Styela clava: one gene and its partners. The protein of the gene in region 1 purifies or fractionates together with the protein of each later gene. This does not show direct contact. Links are inferred from orthologs where the notes say so. Each region holds a gene or a part of one and is shown on either strand. Other genes may lie near its edges.

Region 1 (7,497 bases):
AATGCAGACAGTATAGCACTGAAAACTTTTGTTTTAGAAATGACCATGCCTGCATTGTACTTGCCGATCATCGTTATGCAAAAATGAACATCAAATCCGAACTACCATCATGGATTTCTGACAAACTACAAGTTGCTGACAGATTTGGAATTGCATTCGGTGCTGTTCGAAAGGTATATTTCCAGCAATTTATGTATACTGCATTCATACAACCCTTTTATTACAATCAATCGAAGTCTCTCGTGATGATGAAAGTGTTTATTCTTTTGCAGTTTTTCATGGACAAGAAGACTGCAAGCAGATGAAATGATAGCGCAATTGATAAGAATGCTAAAAAGTATCGTAATCACAAATTACATTCCATTTTCAACATTCAACAGTACATCCCCCAATTTAAAATAGATATGCTTATTTATCATGATAGCTATGTTGTGTTCAATAACAGTTCCAGTCTACACCAATTATATTTACAGAGCAGATATTAAGTGACTACTGCATTTCGAAAGCAGCAAGTATCGTAGGAACGCAAATATTTTTGCACAGTGAGACAGACGGAACAATATAAAAATATATATGAATACACCTATAAGCTACAGTGAGGTTGTCATGATCTCCTTGCCTGCCTGAACAAGCAGTTTTTCCAATATAGAGCATGTCCGTAGATCGCAATTGATTATTTCAATCTGCAAGCATGGTTTCATGTGATGTATTCACCCCTTGTGTCATATCTTCATGGTTTTCCTGAACAAAAAAATTGACTTTTGGTGTTGTCCCATACAACTACTTTAAAATCATGTTGATTAGAGAGCTGTTTCAACTTCTTTTGCCCAGCAAGGGCACAGAATTCTAGACTATCATAGTCAATAAAAAAGCCTTCATTACCTCATGACTCATATTTTCTTCTCTGTGAATACTGTGCAATCTGTCTTGGATAGCATCTTGCAATGTTCGTAAGCTTTCTTCATCCAGTTCTTTTACCAATGACAATGTGGCAGAGAGAATGTTGATACTAGCTGTACTCTGTCCTAATGTTTCTCTTTGTGTATTTCGAGCTGTTGATTTACTTGTAACAATCTCTTGTTGTTGTGGTAATGGTCTCAATCCCAACTGTTTTCTCAGTTCACTGTCATTAATTAAGCGTTCATTCAAGTAGTCAGTATATGTTATCGGCTGTGTATCAAGTTTTTTCGACTAGGAAATATTTATCAACTTTCTAATATCCAAAAAAGATTTTTCACACGAACTAAATCTCGTATAATTTAATTAATAACCGGCAAAAACAAAATTTTGTTACAACTTTTGTGGGTGGGTTGGACTTTAAATTGTGTTGGCATCCTAGGTTCAAACCGGAAAATTTCGGTCATGCAAAAATTGTAGCTCATTGAATGTCATAGTATATTATGAGTGACTGCTTTTACTGGACTTGTTTAGAGTAAAAGGCATGAATATCTTCAACCAGCATCTCATCCTATGTTCCACCTCAACTATCATAGCGCATTACTATTTGATACAATACTCCTATTACGCTCTGGTATGGAAAGCAGACTAAGTTTTCCTTATTATACTAACTTTGTTTCATCCACTGGACAGTGATTATTTTCTTTGTTGTAGCCGGAATACTGATTTTCAGATGGTGAAAGTCTAGATTCTTCTGATTCTTTTTCTAAAAACATGTCATGGCGAGAACTGTTTGTAACATTAGATTCTCTTGCATAACAATAACTTACCTTGTTTATCAGATTCTGTATTTTCTTGATTGTCAATATTATTTACGAGGTAACAATTTACAGGAATAGCTTTATCTTTTGATTCATTTGTTTCTTCTGGGATGCTTTCTGGTTCCGTCAATTCATCACCTTCCTTTTTTGCTTTTTCTACCTCTTCAGCAGTGACAACTGCAAAGAAAAGTGACTGGATTTAAATTCTAGAACTGGTAAGCAGACAGGGGTTGTTTTTAACTGTATATAAAAATCAACCTCTGACAAGAATTAATAATGTGTCCTCACCTACATTGTCCAGCTTAGCAAGCATTGGCAGCACTTTTAAAACTGTTAGTCTGTATTTTGTATTACTGATGTCATCACAAAATGGGTTGTCCGAAAGCCAAAGAATCCTAAAAAAAAAGGCTAACTTAAGGTAAGCTTAGTACTATATATATTCATACATGGATCCTCTTTGTGCCCAATAAGTAAATAAAACATACAATTATCATTATTGTTTCTTTTAACATATTCTATTACATATATAATCCTATTTATTAGTATATGTATAATTGAGAAGGTTACATACAACTAATATTCAATAAAGATACCTTAATTCTGTTAGCTCTTTCAAATGGAGAACTTCATTCAAATTCTTTAAATTATTTTTCCTTAAATAGAGTTCTTTCAAATTGCAGCAATGCGATAAAGCTTGAAGGCTTTCAATGTTGTTTGCACTAAAAATAAAAAAAAGAATTTCAATCCACTATAAGATACTTAAATTGTTACACATTAATAACAGGAAATTTTTAAAAGTAAATAATTGAGATAAGTTTGTAACCATGCTTGAAAATAAGCGCCAACTTCCAATGAAATGGAAATCATGAGATCCAATGAATCCATCAAAATGAATCAATCCAATGAAATTTTTCGGATTGTAAAATATCTGCAGAAAAAATAAATACCGGTATGCGATATAAGCACAAAAATTTACGAGAAATGTAACTAACCTGGCGTTTATCACTTCAATGTTGTGCATTTTTCGAACAATTGTAATCTACAAAACATTAATAATGAGACAGTATAGCTATAAACTCCAATATAAAAAGACACTCAAGGTTCCATATGGATAGAAGTAAATAAAGCAAAGCATGCTTGGAAAAGTCAGTTTAGACGAGTTCAGTAAAATCTACAAAATTCTTCAAGAATCGATAACATCTAACAATTTTATGTATAATTCCACTAAGTAACTCTCACTATAAAAGATTCCGAAGATAATTCAAGTCAAATGGAACTAATCAAGACTATTTTACACTGGTATAAATGTGAAATATTTCGAGAGTGATAATAATGATTTATTTTATACACCTTACTAGGTATCATAAAATACTTACATCTGAAAGAGCACTGCCCCTGAAAAAGATAACATCAATTTAGCTATAAATCACTTTTGATTTGTGCAATGAGTTAAAACTTGTTTTTATTAGTACTGGTACAGTAGTATCTAAGGCTATAGAAATTTGAAACATTGCTATTCTATCCAGTATATTCAGCATCCAGTTTACAAAATTAATGAATGACTAGGGGCCTATACAGATTCTTACCAACAGTTTAGGTTCTTTACAGCACCCAAGCTTTTAGATCTTGCTCGTGCCAGCACTAGCTTTTCTGTGAGTTTTACCATATCTTTGTCATAAAGTAATCTTCTTATTAAAAAGATTGTGAAGCAACCTTGTTATTGATTGTATTTCTTCCAATTTTCCTCAGGTATTTTGGAAAAAAAATATTCTGATATTGGTGATACCGGTAGGCCTATTTATCAAAGTTAGTAATGAACTGAATAAAAAACAATAAAAAGTTGCCTATTTATTATACCAAATCCCGGTATCGTTAACTCCACCAGATCATAGGCTACTAGCGGCACCGGGTTCACCGGGAATTATGATTCCACAATGTGGATTACGGTACCCGGTACCGGTATGCAATAAATAAAAAACATAAAATAATAAATGAATAACAATGACCAAGTATACATAAATAACAAAACATTTCATTACAGTCAATTGATTGTATTTTCCATAGTTGAAATTAGTCACAGGTCACTATACAAGGCTACATCGCCGACCAGCGTACCTTGGTCCTTGGCTGCCTGGCTACTGGTAAATATAAATACAAAATCCCCAATGTTTGACTTGACCTTTGACACCGCGCCCTGTATTTTTTTTATGCAAACAGTGGTTGGGACTGGGTTTAAAATTTTTGCTAGTTTTTAAGCGCCAACTTCCAAAAACACTATTATAATAAGCACCAACAACTTTGCAAATATAGGATCAATTTTTCTGTGGTCGGAACTCGGAAAGCATCCTGAAGGTATATTTCCACACGGAGGCACTATTGAGCAAATGTACGCGTGTGGTTATTGTGGGTCCAGAGGAACTGCCATCGTTCAGCGAGCTTCGCCTTGCGCACTGAAGACGTGTAGCCTATTTCAATTAGTTTTGAACGCTTGGATTAGATCCATTACGGTTGTCCTGAAGCTAAGCTTTATGTAATTGCCATAGTATGCATAGACATATAAATTATGGGACCGTACAAGTACGGCGTCGGTAATTAGTTACCATACCAAACCCTTTTTTAGCTCACTCTGGTACCGTACCTTACCTCTGGTACCGTACTCTGGATATTGCATTTGGCTACTGTCAGACTGTGTGGTAAATTCAAATTTCAGATTGTCTGCATTTCTAGTAGTCTGAGTAGTGGTACCGTAACTTTTGTCAGTAAGCAACCGTCATCTTATTCAACGACTGAACGAGGAAATACCAAGGTACCGTACGCTGGTCGGCGATGTGACTAATTAACAGATTAAAGTTTCATTCAAATCAATTTCTTTTAACTTCCCCACCATCTTACGGTACCGGTACTTCTGTGTGGTGGTGTAGCCCACCGTGCTGAGCGTTAGGAAAACGCTCGCCACCGCACCTCTGAATTTTCTGCGTGGGTTAGCAGGTTCGAATCCCACGCAGGGATGGTTAAGTGCGAAAGGATTGCTGGATTCCTCGCCGCCGTAGAGTGGTTTATGTAACCGCAGGTCGGTTACGGCTTCCTTCATCAAGTCCATGCTTTCGAAAACAAATAGATTAACTAACTAATTCCATACCCGACATGAAATGGTAACCGGATGAGAGGCAGTGGTTCGCCATATGGCAGTGTGGTTAAGTGGTCTTATCAGCTTTCCTCTCCCCAGGATAAATATTTAAATCCTGTCGTAGTTATTAATAACCTAACCTTTGACTTAATGCAGTAACGCATGGCTGTGTGTATAAATGTGAAGATTTCACCAAACATTATTTTATTCTAATTCAATATCATAGAATTTCTTGATGTCTTCAGTTCAATAATTTATATGCTAGACCTGTAATCTGTAAAATGGGGAAGAAAACTCAAAGAACGCCAGAAGAACTCACACTTGAAAAAAAGAGAAATGAAGAATTCAAAGACAAGATTCGGGCAAGAAGAGTAAGTAACAACGCTTATAATATGATCATCATGACTGTGTGTGTAGAAGGTGATTTATACATGTAAAATGGGTTTTGAACATCCAATTCGAAATAAATCATGGATTAAACTTATGAATATGTTTAGATTAAATTAAAATAATGTGGTTAACTATTTAATTGTTGCCTCAATGAACTCATCAATCAAATCAAAATCACAGCAATAATTGGAGTCTCATTGTGTTGACAACTTATCTTCACAATGTTGACAACCATATTTCCATCAAAATTCAGGTCTGTTACACTCTAATACAATATTAATATCATTAACAATTTTCTCTTTGAAGGAAAAATTAGAAGCAAAAGGGAATCAACGGGGAGTTGTTCTTCTCAGTCATATTCCACTTGGGTTTTATGAACCACAAATGTATGAATATTTTTCTCAATTTGGAAGAGTTACAAGGTTAAAATTGATTCGGAGCAAAAAGGTTGGTCGTCAACTATTTTGTATATTTATTTTCATCTGTTCCAGGAAGTTATTTTTTATCACTGTTTGTTTCAGACTGGGAAGTCAAGACAGTTTGCTTTCATTGAATTTCAATTTGAAGAAGTTGCAAAAATTGCAGCTAAAACAATGAATAACTATTTAATGTTCCAAAAAATATTAAAATGTAAGTATACTTTATAGTATTATCAATTTTGCATTATCTTTAGTACCGGTATATCTCTATTTCACTGATTTTGGTAACCATGCTTAAAATTGTGTGAAAATCATATTTTGGTAAAAATTGCAGGCAGACTTATTCCTTTGGAAGAAGTGAAACCAAACACATTCAGTAACTGGAGGCTTATTAAGCGTGTACCTCAAAGTAGAACAAAAGATATCAAGAGACACAATCAAGATGTAACTGATCCTGAAAAGGTTTGATCAAACTTAATAGTCATCTTTGCCAAAATAAAATGCATGGTATTAAATTGCAGAAAACTGCTTCGAGATTTGCAATGAATTGGACTTTGACAGGTCCACATTGATTTTTAGTTTCGTTGACATTGTAATTCCTCACTGTTTTTTTTACAGATCCAGTTAAAATTAAAAAGGCTACGAAAAAGAAGAGGACTATTAAACAAAAAGCTTCGTGAGATGGATATAGACTATGATGTTATGAATGTAGGACAACAATGCCATTTTTATGATACTTGCTAAAATACCTTGTCCTCAAACTACAATCAGATTTCTTTTACTCAGCTTGTATTTGTGTATTGTAGTTCCGTATTGTGGATAACTTTTTAAAATTATAGATTTCTTCAACATGGTTTATATTACATCAGATCATGTAATGGTAAAGGTCTTATTTTCATTATCAATAGATATTATTTCAACTTGTTTGTATTTTATCTACAGATTAAAGTAAACGACTCATTTGTTTCCCCTGAAAGAACCCGTGCTTCTCCTGAAGAATTAGCAGATGTTTATGAGCCTATTCCAGGTACCATATATATTAAAATGATTGTATGCTGAGTGTTTTGTCTATTATTATAGTTAAAGCAAGGATACTCTAGCTTTGTAGGGTATAAATTGAGAAGGCATACGCTCAACTCAACGCTTCATCCATTACCTACAGAGCTGCTTCTTTATCATGTCGGCTCAAACTGCTTCAATGCTAGCGTCAACTGGCATTTAACAACATATTTCCTCATCTAAATATTAATATCCCAATTTCATATTTTCGAAACTTGCAGTAAAAATGATTTTTTTTCCAAAATTCAGATTCCATTGGAATGGAGTATCGGTATTCTGATGGTGAAGATTTTGATGGCAAACGCTCAAATACAAAGAAATTGGGAACTAATATAAAAAAGAAGGAAGAATCAAATGATAATAAAACTAGTGATACATCACTGGAGAATGGACCTAAAGTGCAGTCTACTGATACAAAAAGTTCAATGACCAAAGTATGCTGATTAACTTGAGTTGTTAATATTGTGCAGAATCATGGTTTCATAGGTCAAAAAGTATCGATTTATAAATATGTACATTATCAGTTTTGGCTTTTTTCAATATCTGAATATCTTATTTAGCTTTCAGGTTTCAAATGAGGATAATGATAATTGAAATTCTATAGTTGAACAAGATACGACTTGTATGTCATAGGTCAATGGGACAACTTCATCGTCTATTCTACAGCCTCTAGTCAACAGTCCATGTCTGATATGGGAATGAATAGTTACTTGAAAGTCACTGTAGACCCAATTATCTCGATGTTGCAAGTTACATGATGCTCATTAAGCATTGGCTGATATTA
Region 2 (7,870 bases), on another chromosome or scaffold:
CTCTAGTATAAAGTGTGCTAAAAAGAAGTTTTAAGAGCTTTATACAAGGTTATCTCTGCAATTATTAATAGATGACAGTTGAAAAAACTTGAAACAATTCAAGTTATCCCTGTCAGAAAAATAACTAAGTGGAAACTCTACAAAGCAGAAGTTTTTACATACAAAATGATCATTGACAAGCGGACAATGGCTTTATTAATACAAATGACTAATAGCCATAACTGATATTGGCATCCTTATCAGTGATGAGATGGAAAAATTGTAACAACCAGTATGTACCTAACTTGTGAAAACGTACTATGACCGTAACAAACCGTACAGTTATTAACTAAGTTAAACGGGACTCCCCATGACATAATTTTATTCCAACAACAGGAGCGCAAATGCCATTAAATGTTTAACAACCAAAACTAGGTAGCCTACCGGTGCGTTTCGGCTGCAGCTCACCACTGATCCTTATGCAAACATAATCAAAATTCAATTGATCTGAGTTTGAATTGCAACCTGTTTACAGCCCTGTTCTGAGCAAAACGTCTCATTTGATTTTCAAACAAGATTGTAAACTCAAGGTTAGATTTAAATTAATCATGAGAGTATAGTGCATCTAGAAGTGTGTGTACCAATATGGAGGTAACTAATTTTGTTTGCCTACTTTACATCAAGTTGTGTAAAGGGACTGAAACCTATGGGCAGGGGGTATATCTACTTGTCTCACACGGACAGTCCTGAACTCGTAAAAGAACTAAAATAAGAAAAATCAGAATAAAATTATGGCCTAACCCTAACCTGGTACACATGCTACGGGAATGCCCATAACAAATAATTATTTTTTACATTATACCTTGGCAACTATGGCTTCTTGTACTCGTTCAACTGGTAACTGTAAAACAAAAATAGCAATTATTAATTTTACAACATTATCAATGAAGCACTAATGTTGCCATTTATCCTTCATTGATATTCAGGTTAAAAGACGAGATTGAAACTTTTTACACTACAGATTAAAGATGACCATAAAAGAATCAAATTCTGATATGTCAGAACCCAAATCACATTACTAAGAGTCCGATTTTATATCACCAGGACCAGACTCCACAACAGTGATTTCTTTTCTCAATAAAATCAATAGGATAGGGGAGGATTTATATATTTATAACACAGCTTAATCATATGGTGAACCACACCCTTCCGTCCGGTTACCAGTCCATGTCGGGTATGGGAATAGTTTAGTTAGTCAGTTATTCGTTTTCGGATGCATGGACTTGATTACCCAATTCAAAATCATTCAAGTATAATAATTATTTAGTATTGCCAATTCTCTGTTGCAAATATTAAAACAAAAACAACTTTCTCACTTTCCATATTTCATTAAATAGCAATTGTGTGTTGTCTCTTGTTAGTTTCTTGATGTAGTCTTCTGAATTTTGCCTGAAAAAAATGATTGAAAACTGATAATTTGTATGACTACAAAAACTAGGCACACATTCAGTAAACACCGTTCCCTTATATGGCCAGTTGATGCGAACGGAATGTGCGATTATGCAAAGGACCAGTGCCAAGGGAGCTGATTAGAATTGGGAAACACTAAAAAGTGGCGGCTTGTAAACATGGCTCAAAAATTTTATATGAAAATGATGCTGGGGTTGTTTAGAGCCAAATAGCATTCTAAACCAATTTATTTTAATTAAGTTGAGCAGGTGGGTCTGGTATAGTACAAGGGATTAGTTCAACAATTTTTGCATATGTAATTCCTACCCCCCATTTGACTACGTCATCCAAAAATTATGTCACCATGATGACTTCACTGTAACACGTTAAGACACGGAAAAATACACGAACAGTTATTCCCACCGTGTAGATGCTTACCCTAAACCGAGAAAGCTTTGTCGTCGGGTAGTGTTGGGAATAAAATATGCAAAAATAGTTATTCCACGTCCACTAGAAGTACTAAAGAGGCACTAAACTACACTAGACCCAAGGTCATTTTGCGAGATTTATTATGCTGACGATTCCATTTTGTTTATTGTACAAAAGATCAATTCATGATGCAAATTTGACAAGTTACTGAGCTAGCAAATGGTATAAAAATGCAACTATCCTCAAAAAGAGAAAAACGTGCAACTTAGACAGTAAATTCCTGGAATGAGATTGAGTAATTCCATAACTATAATCTGCTTGGCAATACATTTTTCATAAAAGTTCATCTCTACTGTTCACTCCCATTTATAAAATCTATCAATTCGGCAGTGGCAAACGTTATAAATTTATTAATATGGTGTGGCAAGTAATTTTTATTTATTTTTTTAAATTACCCGTATGTAATTTATAACTTCTGTATGGTTGTGAGTGTGGGTGCGTGTGAGCGTGTGTGAAATATTCCCATTATTTTAGGTAAGTGAACACGTACCACTTTTTCTTGGCAAAACCTTCCATCTTGTATACATTCTGTACGTTTTAAACCTTATCTAAGGTTTTGTTTGCTCTCCTGATTTCATAATCATCATTTTTTTTACCAATCATTTTATTGTTATGCTGATTATGGAGTCGAAATAAACGTATACTTAAATAGATAGGTATGTAGTTTATCAGTTATTTGTAAGTATAAGTTTAATATAACTTGATTATACCAGTACAAGAAAAATCTGGTATTGAGAATCAACAGCAAAAAAAGTAAAGAAACAAAATTGTTCTTCCATATACTGTTTACTTTAAAACTTGTTCACTAATACAGCAGTATAATATTAGATGTATCTTACTTGAAAGCTTGTGAATCCAGTAAATTGGAGTCCGTTGCAATAAGATTTCCCAGGTCGAATTCGAGGTCAATATCTTTCTCAACAGTGATAGATTTTAATTTTTCTTTCTCCTCTTCAGTTATATTTTTTAATAGTTGTGACGCATCCGCAGCAACTTCCTCCATTTTGTGTAAAATTGAATCACAAAATGACGAAAAAACGGCGAAATTTAGCAAGACAGATATTAAAACTTTGTCGATTTAGGGAAGGGTTACCAGATTGGAGTAAATCACATTTGACATCCTTGCAAAATTTTTACTAAAAGTAACATTATAAATTTTTGATAAGTTTCCAAAATTAAAAAAAAAAAAATACAATTATGGAAACATCAATTTTATGCAAGTCTGTTGGGGATTTGTTACTTAATTGCAAATTTAAAAAATTTAAATTTCTGTATATCTGACAACTATCAAAATTACATGCTACAATTATGACCACCGATGCGTATCTTTTGTCCGACAATTAGTTTTACTTTTAACAGATTTTTTACAAATTTTTACGTTCTAATTGTACAGTTTTCGCAATACTTCATTTTTTTCGATAACTAGAAAGTTAAAAAAATGGGTTTAAATAGTTTTAAAATTTTGCACCACAAAACAAATTTTATGGCTCTTTCATAAATACCCATGGGCGTCATCTCGCGGATGTGGTTTATGCCAAAATTTTGTCTCTTCGTTCTCATTTCGTGAGAGTTGCTCGCTTTGCAACGCCGCACTTGCTAATCTGTTTGCTAGCGGCTTGGTCGATGGCTTGGTGCATCTCGTCACGACCTGTTTTTGAAAGTTATATAATTTTTAGAGAACACGTTTTCGTTACTAGATTTTAAATTAGGGTTGAGAAGTTTATATTGCAATTCATCAGAATGCTATGCTCGCAGTGCTAAGCTTGAGTGTTCACTGGTTTAGTGGATTTGAAAACCAAATTGGACTTGAGATCGCAGAATTTATTAACGAAATTGTGAATCATTAAGACGATGACGGCACTTTAAAAAAATTTGTATTCAAACCTTAGGTCTAATCAACTTGAGAAGATAACAAAGACAGAAAATAAAAATTTATAAATAATTATATAAATAATATTATTTATAACAATTTTGTTAGTCTTAATTAACCTTAAATCTATTTCTGTATCCCAAAAGATATTGCCTAATATTCAGATATTGCATTTCGTTTTCAGGTCTTAGACTAAAAGGATTGCGTCCTAGGCAGTTTTTATCATTGAAAAGATACCGCTTAGTTCTTTCCAATGTAGTCTAATTGAAGCCATTTAAGCATTTTTTTAGGATTACATGATTAATGGCCTAAATTGATTTTTAGATCAATATCCATATATTACAAAATGTCTATATTAAATCTTTTTGCAATATTTTTATTTATTTTGAATTAATCATTCTGACTTTTAAAATAAATTTAAAAATCAATTCCGCTTGTCTTTGGCAAAACCTTTCAACTTATATTTTGTACGCTTTGAACATTACCTAAGGTTTTGTTTGCTATCCTGGTTTTATAATCAGTTATCAATTAATTATCTTATCATTTGTTATGCTGATTATGGAGCCGAAATAAACTTAACTCATATAAATAATAAAAAATAAATAAATATCCTAGAATGCGCACTTCAAGTCTCGTCAACTGTCTCACCTTTCAAATACTTGATCTATAATCAATAGCTCATAAGCATTGGAGTGAACGTAATGTGAAGTAACATGATAGACTTTTGTTGTTCAGTTATGCATATAAATCAATTTAAACCGCAAAGTATTCTTGTTAAGAGGGTAATTACGCTACAAAGTTTAGATTTCAATACAATGCATTTGTAACTTACGCATGGAAGAAAATAGATTTTCTGGAACTGTGTTGTGTGCAAAGAAGTTTTATCTGGTTTCTATTAGATAGTAGCATTAGGTGCGCGCTTGCTCAGGTTGGCGGGTTCAAACAATATTTTATGCTGATAATCGTTTTTTTTTAATTCAACTAATTATCCTTTTTCTATGCCCTAGAGGCGGTCAATCTGTATTATCCATGTATGCTGAAACAAGAGTGAAAATATCTATTGTGGGTTATTCATAGAGTATTGCAACTAGAAATTTGAAACACTTGCAACATTTACAACTGATACTTTAGTTTATTCTATTTCTTAAAGGAACTTTTCAAATTATATTCATTTTTCACGATTTTTCATACCAAATCCTAGGGGTATGAGTATGACCCAATATATTCCATTTCAACTGAATTTTAATATTCTTAAACGTTTAATAAATGTAGTATTCAATAACACTTACAGTTTAAATTACTATTTAATAGTATGGTTTAATCATCTCGGAGAAATTACCAAATTGCATTCAGTTCCCTTAGGTCGTTTTCAGCTGAGCAAGGTTTTTATTGATGCATCTATTCCCTTCTAATTTGTCTCTAGAGATATTTTCTAGACTTGTTGCTTAATGATTAAGAATCGATTATCTAGAAACGATTGGCCCAGAAGAAAAATTGGAATAAACATTAGTCTACGTATTAGTATTACTAAGAATAAGTTAGAATATTTCACATGATATAAAAAGCAACAGTTTTGTATCTTCTAAGTAAATGAGTTTGAAAGTGCAGATTAGAGGAAAATGTCATTTTTGTCATTATTGTAGTCCAGTCTGTTTGGTATGAATCTTATTTTAATGTGGTAGTCAATGAAGTGGAACCATGCAGCTCTGCTACACATTATTTAAGATGGTATTATTCTGGCGAGCTATGCTTCATTGATTTCGAATGGTTGAGTCCTGAGTTGTATTAATTCATCAATTTTTTTAAGTAATGGGAAATTGTCTTCTTGTCAATATAATAATTACTCAAAGAGACAGAAAAAGATATTTTGATATATTTTTGTATTACGAATATCATCAAGTATTTCTTAGTTTATAGGATGTCATATTGTGTGTCACTTTCATTTCTACTCTTTGTCATTTCAAGTATTCAGTACATTTCGATCAAATTTAGGCTTTGTATGCCTAAAATGGTATTATGACAATCCATTTCGGAAAATCTAATTTACTTACTGTATTTTATATCCAGGGCCCTACTTTTAACTTTAGTTCGTGCAAACCAGAAACTGTTTTCCTCATTTTTCCAGCATAGATTAGGTGAATTATCATACTTTAATAGCAATGCAATCTAGCTACCTAGGCAGGTAATTATAACCTTCGTTCTGGAATGTACTTTGAGAAATGGTGAGCCATGCAAATCTTGTTGCAGAAATTGATTACGTCAACAGCATGTCAACTGAAGACAGGTAAAAAAGTTTTTTGTGTTGATATAATGAGGATTTAATTTTTCTGTGTGTGCAACCATGGCATTATATTTAAATAATGAGCAAAATATCTATCTGGAGAAAAGCATTATCGGCCAGGTAGTGTGACTCATTGTAATAAGCATTAGAAATATGCTCGCCACCGCACCTCTGATTACTCTGCATTGCTTCGCACTTTCGAATCTTGTGGGGGATGATTATTAAAAGAAGATTGCTGAACTCCTTGCCGCCGTAAGGTGGATCACATAACCGCCAAAAGTCAAGGAGACTCATCTCTACAAAGTTATGGTCACACCACTGAAAGAGCTAATAAAACTATATTGAAATAGGGGTAGCGCATTGGATGCTAGCCATTGGCGTGAGATGTGAAGGGGTTCAATTCAATACGACCAGAAAAACTGCTATTGCATGGGGAATTCCTTTTCCACTAAAGTTATTTTGGCATATTTTTGTCATATTATCAGCATTTGACATTATTTCTAACAAAAATATATTTTCAAGGCTGATCCATGCAAGGCAACGTCGACAAGAACAACTTCAGCGTTGGAAAGAATCCGAGCTTGAATATGAAAAAGATAAGGCAGGATTACCAAACGGACAAATAGCAAATGATAACAAAAGATCAGTTAAATTTGGAGATAGTGTTACATTACTTGAAGCTGCCGCTCGAGACGATGTAGATGAAGGTAGAACACCTTGTATTATGCAATAATTCCCACTTCATGCATGTAAATTACACAGACTAACAAGATGTTTGATTAAGGATCAAATTAAAGTCCTAACCATGCAAGCTGAAAATGAAAATATAATGAAATGGAAGATCAGTTGGCATGCATTTAGTCGAGTTTATTTTTCCAGCCAGTAATAAAAAAGAGTGATATTAAAAGTCAAAACATAATGAACTGATTTGGGAAAATAATATTGCATGTGTAATAATGGCTTTAAATGATTGTGACTTTTTTCCCAATTTGATACGAACCTATATAAAGTACCTTCGCTATACTGCTTTCTATCTCCCGCAGCATGTCTATACTTTTGGAACCATAAATTTGGTATTTGTCCCCAGTGGCGCAACCAGGCTGTTTTCAACGGGGGGGGGGTCCGACCGGAATTTACACAGTGCAACCACGACGTGAGTCGCAACGCCACTAGGTGTCGCCCCGCTGACCACGATAAATTGCTCATGGTTAAAAGGGAAACGCCATCGATTAAATCCCAGCCTTTCGCTTACCTTGCACTCGTTCATTAACGGCGCTTCGCTATGTCTTGCACCTCGTGGGTAGCAAAACGCCGTTCATTACATTCCAGCGAATTGCTAACGAAAAGCTGTTAATTATTTTCAACGTTTCCCTCGCTTTGCGCCTCGTGGATAGTGAAACACGGCTTGAATAAATTCCAGTGTTTCCCTCGTGCCGCGCCTTGCTCGTTGGGTGAATTCGTCAACACTAAAAACAAAATGCACTTCTTGCGAATGGACCTTTTCCCGACCCTAACCCCGGAAAAATTCTAAACTAAACTGAAGCTCACCGGAAGACATAATGACAATTAAAATAATTGATTTACAACTAATTTTTGGAAACACCACTAAAAACTGACTAATTTAATGCAGGGATGTCCAAATCGAATTTAAATTCAAATACTGTTTTTTCGTGTTTATAATAATCCCGAATATGGCGCACATATCCTAGCGTCGTCGTCCATGTGTGGTTCGGCAATATATTACACCTGACATGAAAGAATTTCGATAAACGCCGACTTGAAGAACTTATAAGACTTCGAGG
Region 3 (7,021 bases), on another chromosome or scaffold:
ATGAGTCATGACGTCTTCCATTTAATACACAATTATCATGAAAATATTATTATTGCATTAGAAGTCATGACTCATGGTCTGTGATCGGTTTTCAATGATTTTAAAGTCGACGTCAAGAGAGAACTTTTTTAAGTTGGGAGTCTGAATTTCAGACTTCTAATGGTGAAATCAGGATCAAAATTTCCAGCGGGAACTAAAATAGCAGTCTCGACCGGCAATTGAAGAAGGCTTGAATGAAAAACAGTTTTTTGGGTTAAAATTTCTTAGAGTTGGGGGGTGGGGTCACCTGTGAGAAAAAAAAAATCAGCATTTCGGGTATGGTTGAATTTTACTTCGCAGCCCTAAAAGTGTAGTTAAACTATATAAAACAAACTGTTATTTGCAAATTGAATAAAACCTGATTATAATGACTGTTATTTCATATTTCACTAAATATTGTCAGGTAATAGGAATTACGAGAATTAGTATGAATATTATACCGAGCTTGTAATATTTTGAGGCGAATAAACACATTCAACACTAGAAAACTTCAAATGAACGAGATGCATTAATAAAAATGGGGTAGTGATTTATTTAATATTATTTTCCTAGAAGCATAATGACTAACAAACAATAAAACGCAATTCATTGTAAATTCCCCCCGTCAGAAAATTCAGCATACATTTATTCTGTCATGGGAGTCTTGTGTAGATATGTACTAACTAATTAGATATCATTAATATCTTTCCGATTTGTACCGTAATAAAATCTCTACAATCTAACGACAAACTCTACGACTAAAAAACAACAGCCGACAGCAAACCAGACAAACAATTGCAATGTCAGTATGTCTCAATAATGCTGGGTCAATTGTTTCCACTACGCCCCTAAAAGAATGTTTCTCATCAGTCCGTACAAGCGATGAGCATATATGCTCATTGGGTATAAGATATCTCCAACAAAATAATTCTCGCTAAGAACGTGACTAACTCCACTACTGGCTCATTGCTAACCGGTCATGCCTAGTCAGTGCTAATTTTATAGGTACTTCAGAATCCGGATAATCATAAAGTTAGCACAGCGAGCAAAAATAGTTTTGGCAAAACAATCATCAATCAATACCCAGACCAGAGTCAGAAGGTCTACAGGCATTGGTACCTTTCTCGAAATCTTATTAATGTGAGGCCTGGTCTTCAATATTGATAACTACAAAAAAGAAATATCGAAGTAGTCTGGACGGGAACAGTTAATGGCCAGCAAACAAATACAGATATCGCATCAAATAGCATCACTTTCGTTTTTTAGTATATTGTCAACATAAATTTCCTAATGTGTATAATTTATTGCATAGGCTTAGTCAGTTTGTATAAAGATGGTCCGCAAAAATTTTGGTCAGGCTTTACCGGTCTGTCACTTGAAAAAGGTTGCCAACCACTGCTCTAGGTAGCTCTTGACACTCTAGTGGTCGCCCGTAACCTCATACAGAGATCAATCTCCTTTATTTTTGAGTGAGTTCGTGATCTCGCTTTAAGCAAATTCGATTAAAAAATATACATATACTATATACAAACATTAAAAAAACCTGTTGAAAATATGTTCATTCATTCCACAGGTTTAGTAGATGCAGGTGGCTTATTTTTGTGAGAAAGTGCAACTTTTAAAAATGGAAAATGAAATGATGGACTCCACTTTCATCAATAACTTTATTTCCCGTATTTTTATTATTTCTGCAATTGTGTTTATTTCACCTTTTTAAATTTTGATTTTGTATGACAAACATGGACCACCTTCAGTATCAGTACAGTAATTCAAACTTTTTTATTATTGCACCAATACCGTACTTCACTATTTCTGTATTTACAAAAAGGATGCAGAAATCAAATTGCGTATTTCTGTACTGGTGTTTGTACAGTTGTATATTCATCACGCAATTATTCTGTCAGTCTGTTATTACTTTCATTATTAAAATATTTTATTACACATTAGAATAATATGACAACATACAGACATATTGAAATACGCAATCAATCATAACTATGGAATTCTGTAATTGCAAAACGGAAAAATCTTGCACCTAGGCAACTGTCGCAGATAAAAACTCGAAAATTTTGACACAAAATCATCCTCACCTTTCAAAACGCGTCCATAATTATTGTCCAGTATCTCGTTATACCACTCGTAAAATTTTATCCACGCCCGACCGTTATTACCTTGTATTTACCCCAAACATTATTTGCTTAAACATTGCTTTGACAAGCAATCGGGTTTGGGAATTCGAGTTGAGCGCCACTCGAGGTACGTCATGCGTAACAAATCCGTTAGTGACGTTTTCACGCAAACCAAATTTACGTCGCCATGCTTGAATGATTGCGTCAGTTTCACAGCGTTCTCATGTGGCGACGTGAGATATAAACAGATGCCAGATTTTAGATTCAAAAAAATTATTTGTTTTTACGAAATAGAACTGTTCTACACTGATAAATTATGAAATTTCTGATCATGTATCAAATTAAAACATAACAAAAATTTATTACACAGGTTTTAAATTAATACTGTCAAAAATTTGTCTTTGGACGTTTATGGGAAGAATTTGATAATGCTAAATTAACGATATGTAAGTATATGAATGGTCTGAAAAGTTTATCAAATAATAATTTTAAAACAATTGTAAAATTTGATTAACCGTTTGTAGTGCGAACTTATTCTTTCGGATGCACAAAAAGAAGAGCCCACCTGACTGGGTAGCCAAAGTACAATGATAAAATCTGGTAACGGCAAAATCATCACCAGGCGGTCTTTTTCAGCTGGGCCCGTATAGGTTTCGCCTCTTTTTGCCATGAAGCTGAACGTTTCTTACCCCGCAACGGGGTGCCAGAAGCTTATTGAGATAGACGATGAGTTAAAATTACGTGCCTTTTATGATCGTCGTATGGGTCAAGACGTTTCCGCCGAATCTTTGGGAGATGAGTGGAAAGGATACATCGTAAAGATCGGGGGTGGTAACGATAAGCAAGGTTTCCCCATGAAACAGGGTGTTCTTACTGCTGGTCGAGTTCAATTGCTCCTTTCTAAAGGTCATAAATGCTACAGGCCCCGCCGTACTGGCGAGAGAAAACGTAAATCTGTTCGTGGATGTATTGTTGATGCGAATCTCAGCGTTTTACACTTGATCATTGTCAAGAAAGGAGATAATGAACTCCCTGGATTAACTGACAAATCAATCCCAAAACGTCTTGGACCTAAGCGTGCAAGCAAGATCAGAAAGCTCTTCAATTTGTCTAGAGAAGATGACGTTCGTCAATATGTTGTCAGACGTCCCGTTCCCGCGAAAGAAGGAAAAGAGCAGAAAAAACCAAGATACAAGGCCCCTAAAATTCAGCGATTAATCACACCGCAAGTTCTCCAGAGAAAGAGACACAGGGAAACCATGAAACGCAGACGTGCAGAAAAGGCAAAGAAAGAAGAGACTGAGTACAAAAAAGTGTTGGCGAAGAGAGCCAAAGAATTGAAAGAAAAGAAACAAGAGGCCCAAAAGCGTCGAAGACTTTCGAGTTTGCGAGCATCTCAGTCACAATCTCAATCGTCACAGTAATTTGACTTATTGTTGATGGTTATATTGCGCAATATATTGTTCGGTAGAAATGATAATTTACCGCAATACATAAAACCTAAATAATTTTGGTTTCTATTTGTTATCTATTATGGTTATGGTCAGAGTTTTATCTGTGTGTGGGATTTTGTCGCAAACACCAATGAGGTGTATATACTGTATGCGGTATTTGACGGTTTACAATTCTATAGATTTTGACGTGAAAGATTTCCTCGCTTTAGTGATATAGCTAAATAGTTCAAAGTTTCCTTTCGGCATGCCTCATGATTGAAGCCGAATCGTTTTTTTTTTTTTGAATTTGTCTCCGGCATCATTGGTGTCTCGTTTGCTCTTTTCAACCAGCTATTGCTTGTTTGTTACATATGAGCAAAAGCTTAGACTTGATTTGTAGTGAATGAGATTGCCAACTTTCATCTGCCTTTTTTAATATCAGAAATCTTGCTAGGAAATGGGTTTCAGTGCGTAATGAGTCAGGGTGGTCAACACATGGGCATTCGCAGAAAGTAAAATAATGAATTGATATCAACCAATATCCCTGATGATTTAGTTTATTCTCCATGCGGGATTAATGCTTTGAAATATATAATTTGAATTTGCACTGTAGAATAGGTGTCGATTTGAGCATAAAGTTGAACCAAATAAACAGGATAACTAATTTTCATTTACTTGGCTCCATTTAAATTTGACTTGATTCCAACTAATTGCAGTTCAAATTCACCAATTAAATTGTTTGTTTTTCAAAACAATCGATCAAGTTACAAAACAAAGTCTGCGAGTGCCCATGTGAGCAGGTTTTCCAAAATTATGAAGAATTTTAGTAAGAATATATGTAGACAAGATGGTACCACATTTTTAAATCCTTATAAAATTGAGAAACTTGAAGTATCTGTTTCTAACTCGCTCGGCATCGCGTAACTGATATATTATTTTTGTTAACGTTGGCATTATTTTCACAAGCAGCAAGTATCCTGCTGTCTGAAGCGCATTGTGTTTGTATATTTATCGAGTTCTTGGTTGTTATAAATATTAATGATAAAGGAAAATATTGCACTAGTTTTTAGGAATCTTACACTGAAATGTCCAACACTTAACTAAATACATATTAGCCATGTTGTTATATGAATAAATTGCGATCTGATGGTACGATAATAGTCTGGCTTCCTTAAATGCCAATTTTAATTTCATATAAATATGCACAAATTTTGCTGTGGATATTCGAAATTATTATTTTGGTTTATTTGGAATACGAAACACCACATAGTTTTGGCTATTCCCTGTCCTGCCGAAATAGTATTTCATAAAGTATAAATATTTTTCAGAGCTTTGTAACACAATCTACCCTTCAGCCTAATGTGTAGCAAATTCTGTTGTATTAGAAAGCGATAGCCGTAGTAGCAATCAGGGCTATCTCGTATCAATGGAGCCATTGTGATTTGTGCAAGCTCCCCCGCTCTGGTAACATTTTGGTAGTTTTCTCAAGTAGACCATTGTCATTAGATTTTTTAGCACAGCTCTTTCAAATAATATCACTCGTGGTCGTTACTGCATAATATTTTAGTCTTACGTTCATTCGAAAAATCATTTTTGTAAATACTTTCAGATAATTATTATTAAAACAATCATACAATGGGTAAAAAGACCAAAGCCAAGAAGCGCAAGGATAAATTCTATCATTTAGCAAAGGAGACTGGATACAGAGCTCGTTCTGCTTTCAAACTTTTGCAACTGAATAAGAAATTCAGCTTTTTACAAACCTCCAAAGTCCTGATTGACTTGTGTGCTGCACCAGGAGGATGGCTTCAAGTTGCATCACAGTATATGCCAGTTTCAAGTTTAATTCTTGGAGTCGATTTAGTTCCAATTAAGCCTATTCCAAATTGTATAACATTCACTGAGGATATTACCACTGAAAAATGCAAATCACAACTCCGAAAGGAACTTCATAATTGGAAAGCTGATTCGGTTATTCACGACGGAGCGCCCAATGTTGGTAAAAACTGGCTTCATGATGCATTCTCCCAATCTGTTTTGACTCTTCACGCATTGAAATTAGCGTGCGATTTCCTCCGCAAGGGAGGTTGGTTTGTGACCAAAGTTTTCCGTTCAAAAGATTATCAATCATTAATGTGGATTTTTAATCAACTTTTCAAAAAAGTTCATGCAACGAAACCACAAGCTTCTCGAAATGAATCTGCTGAAATTTTCGTTGTTTGTCAAGGCTACAAAGCGCCAGATAAAATCGACAAAAAATTCTTCGATGCGAAACATGTATTTCAAGAACTTACACCTGGTGATGACCAAATTACGATGGCAGACTTTGGAAATAAAAAATTGTTGAAAAAAGCGAAAGCAGTTGGGTATAAAGATGACGCTACAATGTTATATGAAGAATGTACAGTATCTGAATTCCTTGCTTCTGATAAACCATTGCACATCCTGAAACAAAGCAACAAGCTTGTATTTGATGATGAAGAAATTTTTGGGCATGTCTTTACAACAGATGATATTGTCGATGCGTGTAAAGATTTGAAGGTCATCGGTAAACGTGAATTTCGAATTCTCGTAAACTGGCATAAAAAGATGAATAAAAAAAGAGAGCAAGAGTCTGAAAAAGGTGAAAAAGAAAACGAAGAATTAGACGAGGGATCATCATCTGACAGTGATGCAGAGATTGAGAAAAAGTTATCCGAAATGAAAGAGGATGAAGCGAAACAACTCAAAAGAAAAAAGAAAGTTGTTACTAAGGAACGGCGAAAGTTACGTGAACGCATGGGTCATATGGCGCAATCGACGAACACTCAAGAAGACATGGAATTGTTCTCTTTGCATAATATAAAGTCTAACAAGCATTTGGAGACGCTTACTGAAGATGACAGTATGAAAATTCATGACAAAGAAAGAAATGAATATGAAGATGGATACGAATCCGATGATGAAGTCAGTGAAATTGAATTTGAAGACAATCAGGAATCAGATGGGGAAAATTCTTCAGATGAAGAAAAACAAGAAGAGAGCCCGCATCCACTTATTGTACCACTAGGTGAGGACGAACTCGCTTCTGAGCGACAAACCGACCTCTGGTTTAGTAAAGATATCTTTGCTGATATTAAATTAGATGCCAAAAGAGTACCTCCCAAACCGAAGAATAAAAAGGAGGAAAAGATTCCAGAAAGGGATGAAATTAAAGAATCTTCCAAGGAGGAAGTTAAAATGGAAGTTGGAATGAAACATCCTCATGATCCTAAAATAGAAGAAGATGAGGACAGTGGTTCGAGTAGCGATAGTGATTACGACATCAACATGGCAGCTGATCCTGAGGACCAGAACCCCAACTTGAAAGATTTTGAAGTTGTGCCATCTGATTATCGGGGTGCGACTGGAAAGTTAGACGCATCAGGGCTTGCCCTCGGAACAGTCATTGCAACATCTCGG

The links.
Region 2: the proteins of uncharacterized protein LOC120342376 (region 1) and ribosome biogenesis regulatory protein homolog purify together in Homo sapiens (affinity purification with mass spectrometry; 3 studies listed by BioGRID and IntAct, counting the BioPlex papers as one, with this or other methods). This does not show direct contact. The link is inferred for Styela clava from reciprocal best matches to the Homo sapiens genes NIFK and RRS1.
Region 3: the proteins of uncharacterized protein LOC120342376 (region 1) and pre-rRNA 2'-O-ribose RNA methyltransferase FTSJ3-like fractionate together in Homo sapiens (co-fractionation; 3 studies listed by BioGRID, with this or other methods). This does not show direct contact. The link is inferred for Styela clava from reciprocal best matches to the Homo sapiens genes NIFK and FTSJ3.

Annotation. Positions count from the first base shown.
Region 1 is NC_135252.1:14,885,919-14,893,415, reverse strand, and holds the start of uncharacterized protein LOC120342376, read left to right. Parts: upstream 1-4,397; 5' UTR 4,398-4,524; intron 4,525-5,058; exon of another isoform or gene 5,059-5,110; 5' UTR 5,111-5,126; coding exon 5,127-5,216; intron 5,217-5,541; coding exon 5,542-5,682; intron 5,683-5,756; coding exon 5,757-5,865; intron 5,866-5,988; coding exon 5,989-6,116; intron 6,117-6,272; coding exon 6,273-6,362; intron 6,363-6,596; coding exon 6,597-6,681; intron 6,682-6,962; coding exon 6,963-7,147; intron 7,148-7,497. Other genes in the region: ATP-dependent DNA helicase DDX11-like, read left to right, coding at 38-173, 273-305; cilia- and flagella-associated protein 410-like, read right to left, coding at 679-741, 883-1,123, 1,570-1,663, 1,728-1,895, 2,007-2,113, 2,312-2,437, 2,711-2,757, 3,095-3,113 and 1 more.
Region 2 is NC_135263.1:4,727,748-4,735,617, reverse strand, and holds the start of ribosome biogenesis regulatory protein homolog, read right to left. Parts: upstream 3,057-7,870; 5' UTR 2,921-3,056; coding exon 2,757-2,920; intron 1,429-2,756; coding exon 1,356-1,428; intron 881-1,355; coding exon 842-880; intron 1-841. Other genes in the region: protein phosphatase 1 regulatory subunit 16A-like, read left to right, coding at 6,007-6,071, 6,591-6,775. UniProt on the Homo sapiens protein: Involved in ribosomal large subunit assembly. May regulate the localization of the 5S RNP/5S ribonucleoprotein particle to the nucleolus.
Region 3 is NC_135263.1:4,791,991-4,799,011, reverse strand, and holds the start of pre-rRNA 2'-O-ribose RNA methyltransferase FTSJ3-like, read left to right. Parts: upstream 1-3,999; 5' UTR 4,000-5,215; coding exon 5,216-7,021. Other genes in the region: small ribosomal subunit protein eS6-like, read left to right, coding at 2,816-3,571.